Bombyx mori: one gene and its partner. The protein of the gene in region 1 interacts with the protein of each later gene in a biochemical or structural test. Links are inferred from orthologs where the notes say so. Each region holds a gene or a part of one and is shown on either strand. Other genes may lie near its edges.

The links.
Region 2: the proteins of general vesicular transport factor p115 (region 1) and syntaxin 5A form a complex in vitro, tested with the Homo sapiens proteins (2 studies listed by BioGRID). The link is inferred for Bombyx mori from reciprocal best matches to the Homo sapiens genes USO1 and STX5.

Annotation. Positions count from the first base shown.
Region 1 is NC_085109.1:1,633,754-1,638,962, forward strand, and holds the start of general vesicular transport factor p115, read left to right. Parts: upstream 1-2,141; 5' UTR 2,142-2,300; coding exon 2,301-2,381; intron 2,382-4,035; coding exon 4,036-4,170; intron 4,171-4,239; coding exon 4,240-5,183; intron 5,184-5,209. Other genes in the region: uncharacterized protein LOC101741560, read right to left, coding at 1,064-1,313, 1,477-1,541. UniProt on the Homo sapiens protein: General vesicular transport factor required for intercisternal transport in the Golgi stack; it is required for transcytotic fusion and/or subsequent binding of the vesicles to the target membrane.
Region 2 is NC_085118.1:10,688,067-10,693,089, forward strand, and holds the start of syntaxin 5A, read right to left. Parts: upstream 3,434-5,023; 5' UTR 2,633-3,433; coding exon 2,608-2,632; intron 1,259-2,607; coding exon 1,107-1,258; intron 936-1,106; exon of another isoform or gene 724-935; coding exon of another isoform or gene 718-723; exon of another isoform or gene 684-717; intron 497-683; coding exon 70-496; intron 1-69. UniProt on the Homo sapiens protein: Mediates endoplasmic reticulum to Golgi transport.

The DNA of each region.
Region 1 (5,209 bases):
GGCAGCCGTTGTAACTATACTTGAGACCTTAGAACTTATATCTCAAGGTGGGTGGCGCATTTACGTTGTAGATGTCTATGGGCTTCAGTAACCACTTAACACAAGGTGGACTGTGTGCTCATCCACCCATCTAAGCAATAAAAAAATATATAGCTGAAATACTAGCTAGACCTGCTATTTGGAAGTCTAGCCACCCAAAGTGTTTCTCGTACTTCTTGTGGAATTCTCCATCTATAGGTATACTCTGATTCTTATTCAAATCATGTACTTTACAATCTTTTCCAAATAATAGGTCCTGAACCAAAAAACTATTAATTTGTAAGCAATATCGAGATAATTTCGATATAGACATTTCGCTATCGGACTTCCTTACTAGTCGCGGCAGCGAACGTGAGTACCCGTGGCCTGCAAACGGTGCTGCGCGAATGGTCGCCTCGTCCACCGCTTCGCTGTTCGCACCGTCGATCCCCGTGGCCAGGCCGTAAGAACACAAACACATTAATTTGATCAATTACTTTAAAAATCATGTTTAATATATTATACATATACCTAATGTTTTTTGTATGATTTAGGGTTTTGGCAGACCTCAGTCTCAAATGGTTAAGATTTGGCAGGATTGCTCTATACTACTTTTAATTATGCATGAAAAACCAGAACAAATAGTACTCATTCTTTGAGGGTTGCCTAGGCTTATTATCAATATAAAAGTATTACGTAGATACATCTTCCATTTCAAAAATCAATTTGTTTTTACATAAACTTGTAAATTATGGATAAGATAATCATCACACTCTGCTCTAACCAGAGAAGTGAGATTAATCAAAGGTTTACAATCAACAAATAATCTCTTTCACAACAGTATACTTCATGAACAATGCTGCTAATACTACAATTCATTGCTTAGCTAAAGATACCTATAATATGTATATGATATGCCACAATAGCTATTTATGAAAGGATTCAATTTTAAATCTTAGTTGAAAATGAAGAAAATGTATCTCGCACAGTATTGTTGGCTAAGCAAGAAAATGTTGCTTTAAGATATTTCAATCCAGCATCTTACTTCTAAATTCTCTCTTTCGGGACTGTAGAATTTCATTGACTTCAGTTTCATCTCAGCTTTAATGAATTGTCTGGCTGCAGAGATATAGTGCTCTGCTTCACCAAGGAAATTTCCCACCGAGGCCTCGCATTTCGCAGCGCCCACATAAGAATGCCCTGCAAACGTTGGCTGTTCAGAATGTTCACATTGTATCGCTAGTGCTATAAACTCATTTGTTGCTTCAGAAACATTTGGCTTCCGCATGAAACGCCTGAAAATTCAACGTAATTATATTTCATTTTTGCTTTAGATTGAACGCAAGTTGTAAATATTAGTCATAATATGTTAAAAAGTATGTTAAAAAAATATTTTCATTTTTAGTTTTTTAAAGCTATGAAATACATTATTTACAATAAGAAAAAATATATATTTACTTTTTCATTTTTGTATTGATGTTCATGTATTGTTCTGTGAAACTGGAGTTTAAATCAGTAGACATTGTCGATGTTGTACGTAATAATCAAAATAAATAATTAAAAAAACTGAGGGACTGTTTGTAAATTTGTAACGTTTAACTTTTTTCTGTTTTATTAGTCAATTAGGCAGACGAAGGGAATGTAGTCTATACAGGCATGCTTACTTTATCAAAGGTCAAAGAATGAAACAAAATATTAAATCAAATGGAATTGATGAAAATAAGTTAAGTAGGTAGTGCCTCTCAGGAAACTGGTTAAAATTAATTAAGAGTTCAATTAATGTTTTGGAAGAAGTCGAGAAGCCATGTCCAGCTATTAGTTTAGCTTTCATGATCATGAATATTTTAGTTAATACAATACCTATTCAAGCGTTACCCTTTTAGTTGGTACAATAATGAAATGTCGACGACCAACATTTTAGCCATCGTTTGAGGTTACGACCTCATGTTTCAGTGTGATTGATGACGTTCACGTCGTGATGTCTTTGGGGCCCGGCGAGTACCTAGGTATATACTTACGCAATACAAAACTTAGGAAATTTTGATAAAAATGAATATTTTGAATTTAGTAGGTTTTGAATTTGTCGTAGGAGAATTGTCTATAAGCATCTGGCAGCATTGCACCGGTCACCAACTGTCAAATTCGTTTGAAGGTTTGACGTGTCTTTTATTTATGGAAAGGACTTGAACATAATTTCACGAAAAATAACAAGTGATAAAACATGAGTTCTATTATAATTACTTTCTAGAGGTATAAAGTGTATAGCAACGCACGTAAAAAAAATGGATTTCCTCAAAAGCGGTATTAAGACTGTTCTGGGGTCTCCAGAGGTCGGCACTGCCGCACCGTCTCCAGCTGAAACGGTGATCATTTTATTAATAAGATTTCTAGAATAATAGTCTACTCTCGGGCTATTTATAGATACCAATCAAGTACTGTTCATGTAAACTAGACTTTTATAGCATCAAGCAATTTGAAAGATTTGAGATAAAATATAATTATTAAATTAATTTGTAAATTAATCAAAATCTTATCTCTCATGCACTCACAGACTAATACCACGCCTACGGAGCTACGTTTTGTACTGAACTGATGATCATTCCTTTAAGCCACCATAATTTCATATATTCAGCACTATTCACTATATCTTACTAGATGACATTCCAATCAAATAAATCTGAGGAGGCATTGTTTCCATGACTTGTGGGCAGGCCGTCAGCTATATGTTGTATATGAACACAAAGTATTTATATTCAGCAAATCAAGATCAGTTTTCGTTTTTAACTACCTCTGTAGATGTGTGATTACTACTATAGTTTACTTTATTTTTGGCTCAGAGAACAGTGCCCTTACATTTAGTAAAAACATCGGCTATCGTAATTAATAATGAGCATTTTTTATAATAAGCTTTCTTAATGAGCAGGTTGCAGAGAATTATCTGTCAATCTAAGAGCTACTAGATTTTGCAGAAAATAGTATTGAAATTGATTAAAAATAATAATATAGTGTCTTTGACAATAACCACATGAGGCTAAGCGGCCTGTCTGTGTACGTAGTGCAAAACAGAATAGTAAATGTGAGATTACACTGTAAAAGCTATTTTAATTAAACTGGCAGTAGGACCTCTTGTGAGCAATAAAAAGAGTATTTAAGCAATAAAAAATATATGTTTATGATTTGCAAAAACTGATGACAATACTATATCATGGTACAATTTTTAAAAATGTGATGTGACTTCAGACATTTTCAAGAGGCTGCAAGTTTGCAAATTTGGAATATATATAGCAATATGGAATAAAAACCACAATAAGAATATATTTTTTCTAGAAACCATAATACTTTTAATAGTAGTATACGGACCAAATGAAAAACTGTCTGGCTATTAACCAAAATATAAGACAGCAAAATAGCAAAGTCTCTGTAGGTAGATCAAGTCGTAAAGAATCTTGTTATTGAGGTTCATAACCTTAAAAAATATGCTAATTTTTAGTTTTACTAGTGCTTAGTAAGTATTACTGAATGTACTTATTTTTTTGCCTATAGCATTGTACTATAGCATAAAATATTTAAATATTTAACTAATAATGTTAACTTTAGGAGATTGTGTCTTGAAGCTAAGACTCCCACTCCATCAATTAAAATACAAAATTTGCAGGAAATGATAAGACATTATTTAACAATTGTAATTTTAATTTAACAAATTGTCTACTCATATGTTATTATAACTTGTCAAGCATAAAATTATTATAACTATTTATGCTGTTATCTTGACATGTATATGTACACATGTCAGTCTCTGCTACCCATAGCACAGGGAATCCTAATTTTAGGCAGAATGACCGCGCATGATTTGTTCACGGTTCCCAGTTAAGTAATTCATCAGTAAAGTTGAATTTTGGCAATTTGTATTTGTTTACATAATAATCTTTGGTTTGCTCTTTAAGGATTTACTATAATTTAAAATAGACTAATAGGTTAAGAAACGCAATAATGAAATACACGGCATTGGTGGGACAGGTCGAGCGACTAGTGGAGCGCGTTACGAATTCTACACTGCTTCAAGACCGCAGAGACAGCTGCCGTGCGCTCAAAGCACTCTCGCAGAACTACCGCATTGAAGTCGGTGCCCAGGCCATGGATGCTCTCCGTCAGGTTAGTACTGGTGTGTGGGTCATAAATCTCATTCTTGATTATTATTTAATAGCTACTTAAATTTCCCAGGTACTAGAATTAGACAGAGCAGACAATGAGACGATACACTACGCACTTGACACCCTTAAAAATATTATGTCTCCAACTCTTTTCAAAGTTGAAGAGGACAACCACCAAGTTCCTTGTAACATCGGGGAACAGTTCACTGAAATGTTCATTAAAGATCCACAGAATGTGCAGCTTGTGTTAGATCTTCTTGACGAATACGACTTTCGCGTGCGACTCTCAGCCGTACAGCTACTTACTTTCATGCTCACGAACAGGACCCGTGACATCCAAGAGATCATTCTAGTCAAACCAATGGGAGTATCCAAGATGATAGACCTCCTCGGAGACACCCGGGAAGTCGTAAGAAACGAAACATTGTTGCTTTTAATAAAACTGACAAAGGGCAATGCCAACATACAGAAAATAGTAGCGTTCGAGAATACATTCGACCGATTGTTTGAGATAATTGCGAGCGAAGGACACGCCGAGGGCGGTATCATCGTAGAAGACTGTCTGTTACTGATGTTGAATCTGCTGAAGAACAACAGCAGCAATGTGAACTTCTTCAAAGAGGGTAGCTACGTGCAGCGTCTGCTACCACTGCTGGCGACGCGCGACGACGAGGCCGAGGAGGCCGGGTGGGCGGCGCAGCGCGTGGCCAACGTGCAGGTCACGCTGCTGGTGGTGCGCGCTCTGGTGGGCGGGCAGGGCGCGGGCGCGGGCGGCTGTCGACGCGCGGTGCGGGCGGGCGGCGTGCTGGCGGCGCTGTGCGGCGTGCTCATGTCGAGCGGAGTGCCGGCCGCCGTGCTTGCCGACACCATCCTGGCGGTGGCCGACGCGGTGCGCGCCGAGCCCGAGTCGCAGGACTACCTCGCGCAGGTCACCGCGCCCTCCGACCCGCCTCGACCCACTCTTCTCGTCCTGCTCATGTGTATGCTCAACGAGAAACAGCCATTCCAACTTAGGTAAAGTTTTATAAACAATACACTTA
Region 2 (5,023 bases), on another chromosome or scaffold:
AAAAGCAATAAATGAAAAGAATATAACACTTCATATTGGACTTATGCCTGAATCATTTAAAATACTTACACAAGGCTAACTTTTCCAATTTGGTATATGTACTAGTAATATTCTTACTAATTACTTTTGCCATACTCATGAATTGGGAGTAAGTTTCCAACACAGCAGCTTTTCTATCATCTCTTACGGTTGGTTTGTTTAAGAAACGTCCTTGGAGACTGCGTACAGTTGAAATGAATTCACTTGTTCTATCTCTTGAAGCCATAACTGGTTCAAAAACAAATTCTTCTAAAAATTTAAACACGTCCTGGTCAGATGATTTAAGAATCAATGTTGATTTGGAATTTGATGAGTTCTCGTAAGGCCGCGATTCCCCGTAATGAACACCTTTCTTATCTAATTTATTGTATGAATCCGTTTCTGTTTCCAAGAGTCTTTCTGTAACGCCTATATTTCGCCTTCGAGGAAGCATCGCATTGTAGTCTTCAGTCTTCACCTATAAAGTTTTACAGAAAAAACGTTGTCAACTTTGTTTGATAAGTAAATTACATTAAGTCAAACAGTACTGTTACACCACACATATGCTTTACTTGTTAATGATTGGGGATATTTTGTTTGAAAATGAAAACTTACAATTTACATAATTGAGGCAGTATTTCACAATTTTACATTCCAATACTTACTTAGAAAACCAATAGCGTTCAAATAATTACGTACTTTCATAGTACATTCATGTGTGTACAATATTTATCATTTCATCTCATCGATTCTTTTCAAAACTCGATGATATATCTATCTTTTAAATTATCAAGTCCCACTATTCCATTTTTTAGATAAGGTATGTAGGTACCTACCCACAATCCTTTATTTTTAATCACTCGATAGATTCCAGACACGTAGTCATAGATAATACACTTAACACGTAGGGGTAGTCATAGACTATTCTGGCTTAGTTTGTCCATTACTCACTCTGTCACTCACATGCGCACGAATACGCAAACCCGCAAGTGTAGGACGACATTTGCGAATGATTATGCAAAGTTTTCGCTGCATTCGTGGTTTTCCAAGCTGTGTCGGTTTTTTAACAGACATCAAAGCGCGCGAACCTCGAACCTTCGCGTAGTCTCCCACACATTCGCTTGCCCAGTTGCGCCGACGATTGCGAAGGTAACGCCGTTTTCATAGTTCGTGACGTCTACTGTGTAGCGTATCTTCATCAAAAGAAATCCCATAAAAACAGCATGGCTGTTAATCATGTCTGGGAAAGAATTCAAAAATCTTTTTCTTTTCAATGTTCTATTGACGAATTAAAAAGGAGGAGAAATTCGTGAGACATTCGTAAACAAGTGTAGGAGGAAGCGCAAACGGGTTCGCAAATTGAGTATGCGAACCCATTTGCACAGCCGCTAGGTTTGCGAATGAATGTTTGACGGCCCTTTACATGCGCGCAAACATTCGTACAATGTACGAATATTTGCGCGCATGTCAGTGGCCGGCATTAATACAATTAATTTTTTTTTTATCTCAGATCTACTTTTTTTACTCTTTGGGTTACAGTCCTGTTTCATTTTCATCTTTTTATGGATTTTAGTTTCTCTTCATGCCAACAAATTGTTGCCGTAAAAATTCTATAGAAATAAAATAATAATTTCATCTGTCATTTGAAACATATTCAACAAAATTTTCACAATACAAACATCTGGAACAGCCATTTCAATGTAATCTCAAAAAGCATATTAATTTAACTGTTGTACCACTTCGTTAGAATTGATGTGGGTATACCTAGTTGTTTGTCTTAGCAATTTTTGGCAGACTAATGACAATGTGTTTATGTTTCTATAGAGAAGGTCGATCTCTTCACTTCCAACTATTTAAATTAAATGACGAAGAAGTGACACCAACGAACATGTGTGTGTGTATCAAAAGATTATATCGTGTGATGATCAATGGGTCGTTTTTAAATTTGGGGCCAAAAGCGAGTTATTTAATTCTCATAATAACCTTAATGTTACCGTAATTATATGTTCAGTAAATTTGTTGTCATAACAGGCGCGTGGTCCTATAACTATACACCACTATTTTTAAATTAGTACAAAAAAATTAACTGGGCTCTAAGTATCTTTAACTAATCATATTATATGGTAGTTAAAAATAAAAAAAACACGAAGTCTCAGAACTGTCCATAAAAATACGTAATAATTGGTAAATGCTAAATAACTAAATCAATGACCGAAAGTACGTGCGGCAGGGTTTTAGTATCTACGGGGCGCTGCTCCATTGATAAATTCCAGGAAACTCAAGTCAACTCAACTCAACAATAACGACAAAAACCTAAACACTACTAAATTGTTAGCGGAAGTGTGCGCATGCTTTTTTTCGTTGCAACAGTTGTTTGTTTAAGTTTTCCCTGATGCGATGGCTTATCAGTTCACATCACGGGAGTATGTAGCTATGCTTCGTGGGTACTTTTTGAGTGGAGAAAATGCGAGTGCAGCTGTACGTATGTACAGGGAAGAATACCCGAACGCGAGTGCAGCTGTACGTATGTACAGGGAAGAGTACCCGAACGCCCGACAGCCAAATGTGCGAACCGTGGTAAATGCTTACCAGCATTTGCTTGATCACGGTTCATTCCACGCACCGTCACATAGTCAAGAACGAGGAAGACTGGCGTTGTGACAAAATCTGTACGACGATGTACTAGCGTATTTTGAAGAGGATCCCCGACGGAGTACAAATGACACTGCTCGACGGTTTAACAACAGCCAGTCCTGTGCCTGGAAGATTGTTAATAAGGCCGGATTATATCCATATCACTACAGGAAATCTCAGGAATTAACCACCGTTGATTATGTAGCGAGGATTTCATTTTGCATCAGGATACTGAACAATACCGAAGCAAATGTATTATTTTCTGCATTGGGCCTGTAGCTTGGCCTCCACGCTCACCTGACCTCACGCCCATGGACTTCTTTTGTGGAGTGAAATTAAGAGATGTGTGTACAGAAGCGAGCCGGTTAGGCTCGCACAATTAAAACAGCGCATATTGGACGCTTTTGACGAAGTGAAAAGACATAGAAGCGCACTTCTCTCGTTAAAAACGAGTTAATGAAACTTGCCCGTCAATGTATTGACAATGGTGGTGGACATGTCGAAGGACAATTGAATATACAAGTATTCATGATGAGATGATATGGGATGAAATATAATCTCAGTAAAATGGTGGTTATTTACTGAAATTTTTTTAGTGGACTTTTTGGAGGATCCCGATAAGTTACGTCCAGCGGCTTTGTTTCATTTTACCACATTTGTGCACTTTCACAGATATTAAACAGTTAATAAACCACCGTTATTACACATTTAAACCTGAAGAAACACTAAATAGACAAAATAAAACAAATCACACAACTTCACTCCTCACGTTCCCCCCAAAAAGTCGCTGTCATTTTTTTTTCTCTTTTTTTAGGTATTTTATGACCTGGTAGCTAAGACTTTTAAGTCATGTCTTATTTTAATTTATACTCTTATTTTTATGAAAAATTATGAAATGAAATGAAGATGATTAATTTGAGACATTAATCAACTGGGATGAAATCAAATGAAATGAAATGAGATGATATGGGATGAAATATAATCTCAGTAAATTGGTGGTCATTTACTGAGACTTTTTCGTTGGACTTTTTGGAGGATCCCGAGAAGTGACGTCCGGCGGCTTTGTTTCATTTTCCCACATTTGTGCACTTTCACAGATACTAAACAGTTAATAAACCACCATTATTACACATTTAAACCTGAAGAAACACCAAATAGACAAAATAAAACAAATCACACAACTTCACTCCTCCGTTCCCGCCAAAAAGTCGCTGTCATTTTTGTTTTTTTTTTTAATTTTATGACGTGGTGACAGAGACCTTTAGGTCATATCTTATTTGGAAAATGTTCATTAGTTTGGGGCTGTCATTTATAGTTCACTTTTATCATAGATTATCATAGACCTATATAGTAGGGACACGACATATTGTACTATACGTACAATTGCTTATATAAATAGCACCCATTTTGAAGGCACACACATAAACATATATCTATCTCGTTCTTACTCAGCACTTTAACTCGCAGGAAAATAATATAACAGTATTTCAGTGCGTACATAAAATGAAACATGAATATACGTAAATGTCTAATGAGGCCGAAAATCCGCCATGTTGAGCGCTCCAAATGTCATTGTCACGTCAGTTCGGCCGTCTGTTTTGGGTTGCGATTTAATATGATTGCTTATATAAAATTTCATATTTTATCATGCTTAAAACATACAAAAATAATAATTAAAACGTATTTTATAGGATCTCAAGAAAGTCGATGCCCCAAAACTATTATCTATATATATTTAAATTCATTACGGAGCCCTCATCCGAAAAATCATTTTTCGGTCGGAATCTATTGATCATGACACTAATTATAAATACCTCTTTAAAATATGTCATCAAAACATATTATTGACATTCTGTTTAGATATTTCGGGAAAAAGGCTACCGACAAAATCTCTTCGGAACTATTTAAATAAAATAGTTTTATGCCGCAGTGAATAAAACACTATTGTAAATTCGGTAAATATTTAATAATTAAGTGATTTTAGAGAGGAAGTCACAAGGAATGACGTTTGTAATTAATGAATAAATGTTCTGTATAGTGGGATTTTTTATTAGACGAAGTAAACTGACGTTTACTGTGTTGTCAGGTTTTGATGAAATAAAAATAGTGTTGTGACAAAGTGAACGATTGAAAAAACTCCTGAATTAATGAAATTGCCTCGATTGTCTAATGAATAGTAGGTGTGCCGAATTGCCGATATCGGGTACGGGGTTCGTATTTTATGCGTGCTTTGTACATACCAACGAGTTTTCGACGAAATATTATGTTCCTATAGTATCTACCTGTACTGAATACCGAGTGTTTTAAACATTATGAAAAACATTGCGAGGAAGCTTGTAAAACTGTCCTATTTCCAATACATCAGATAGTT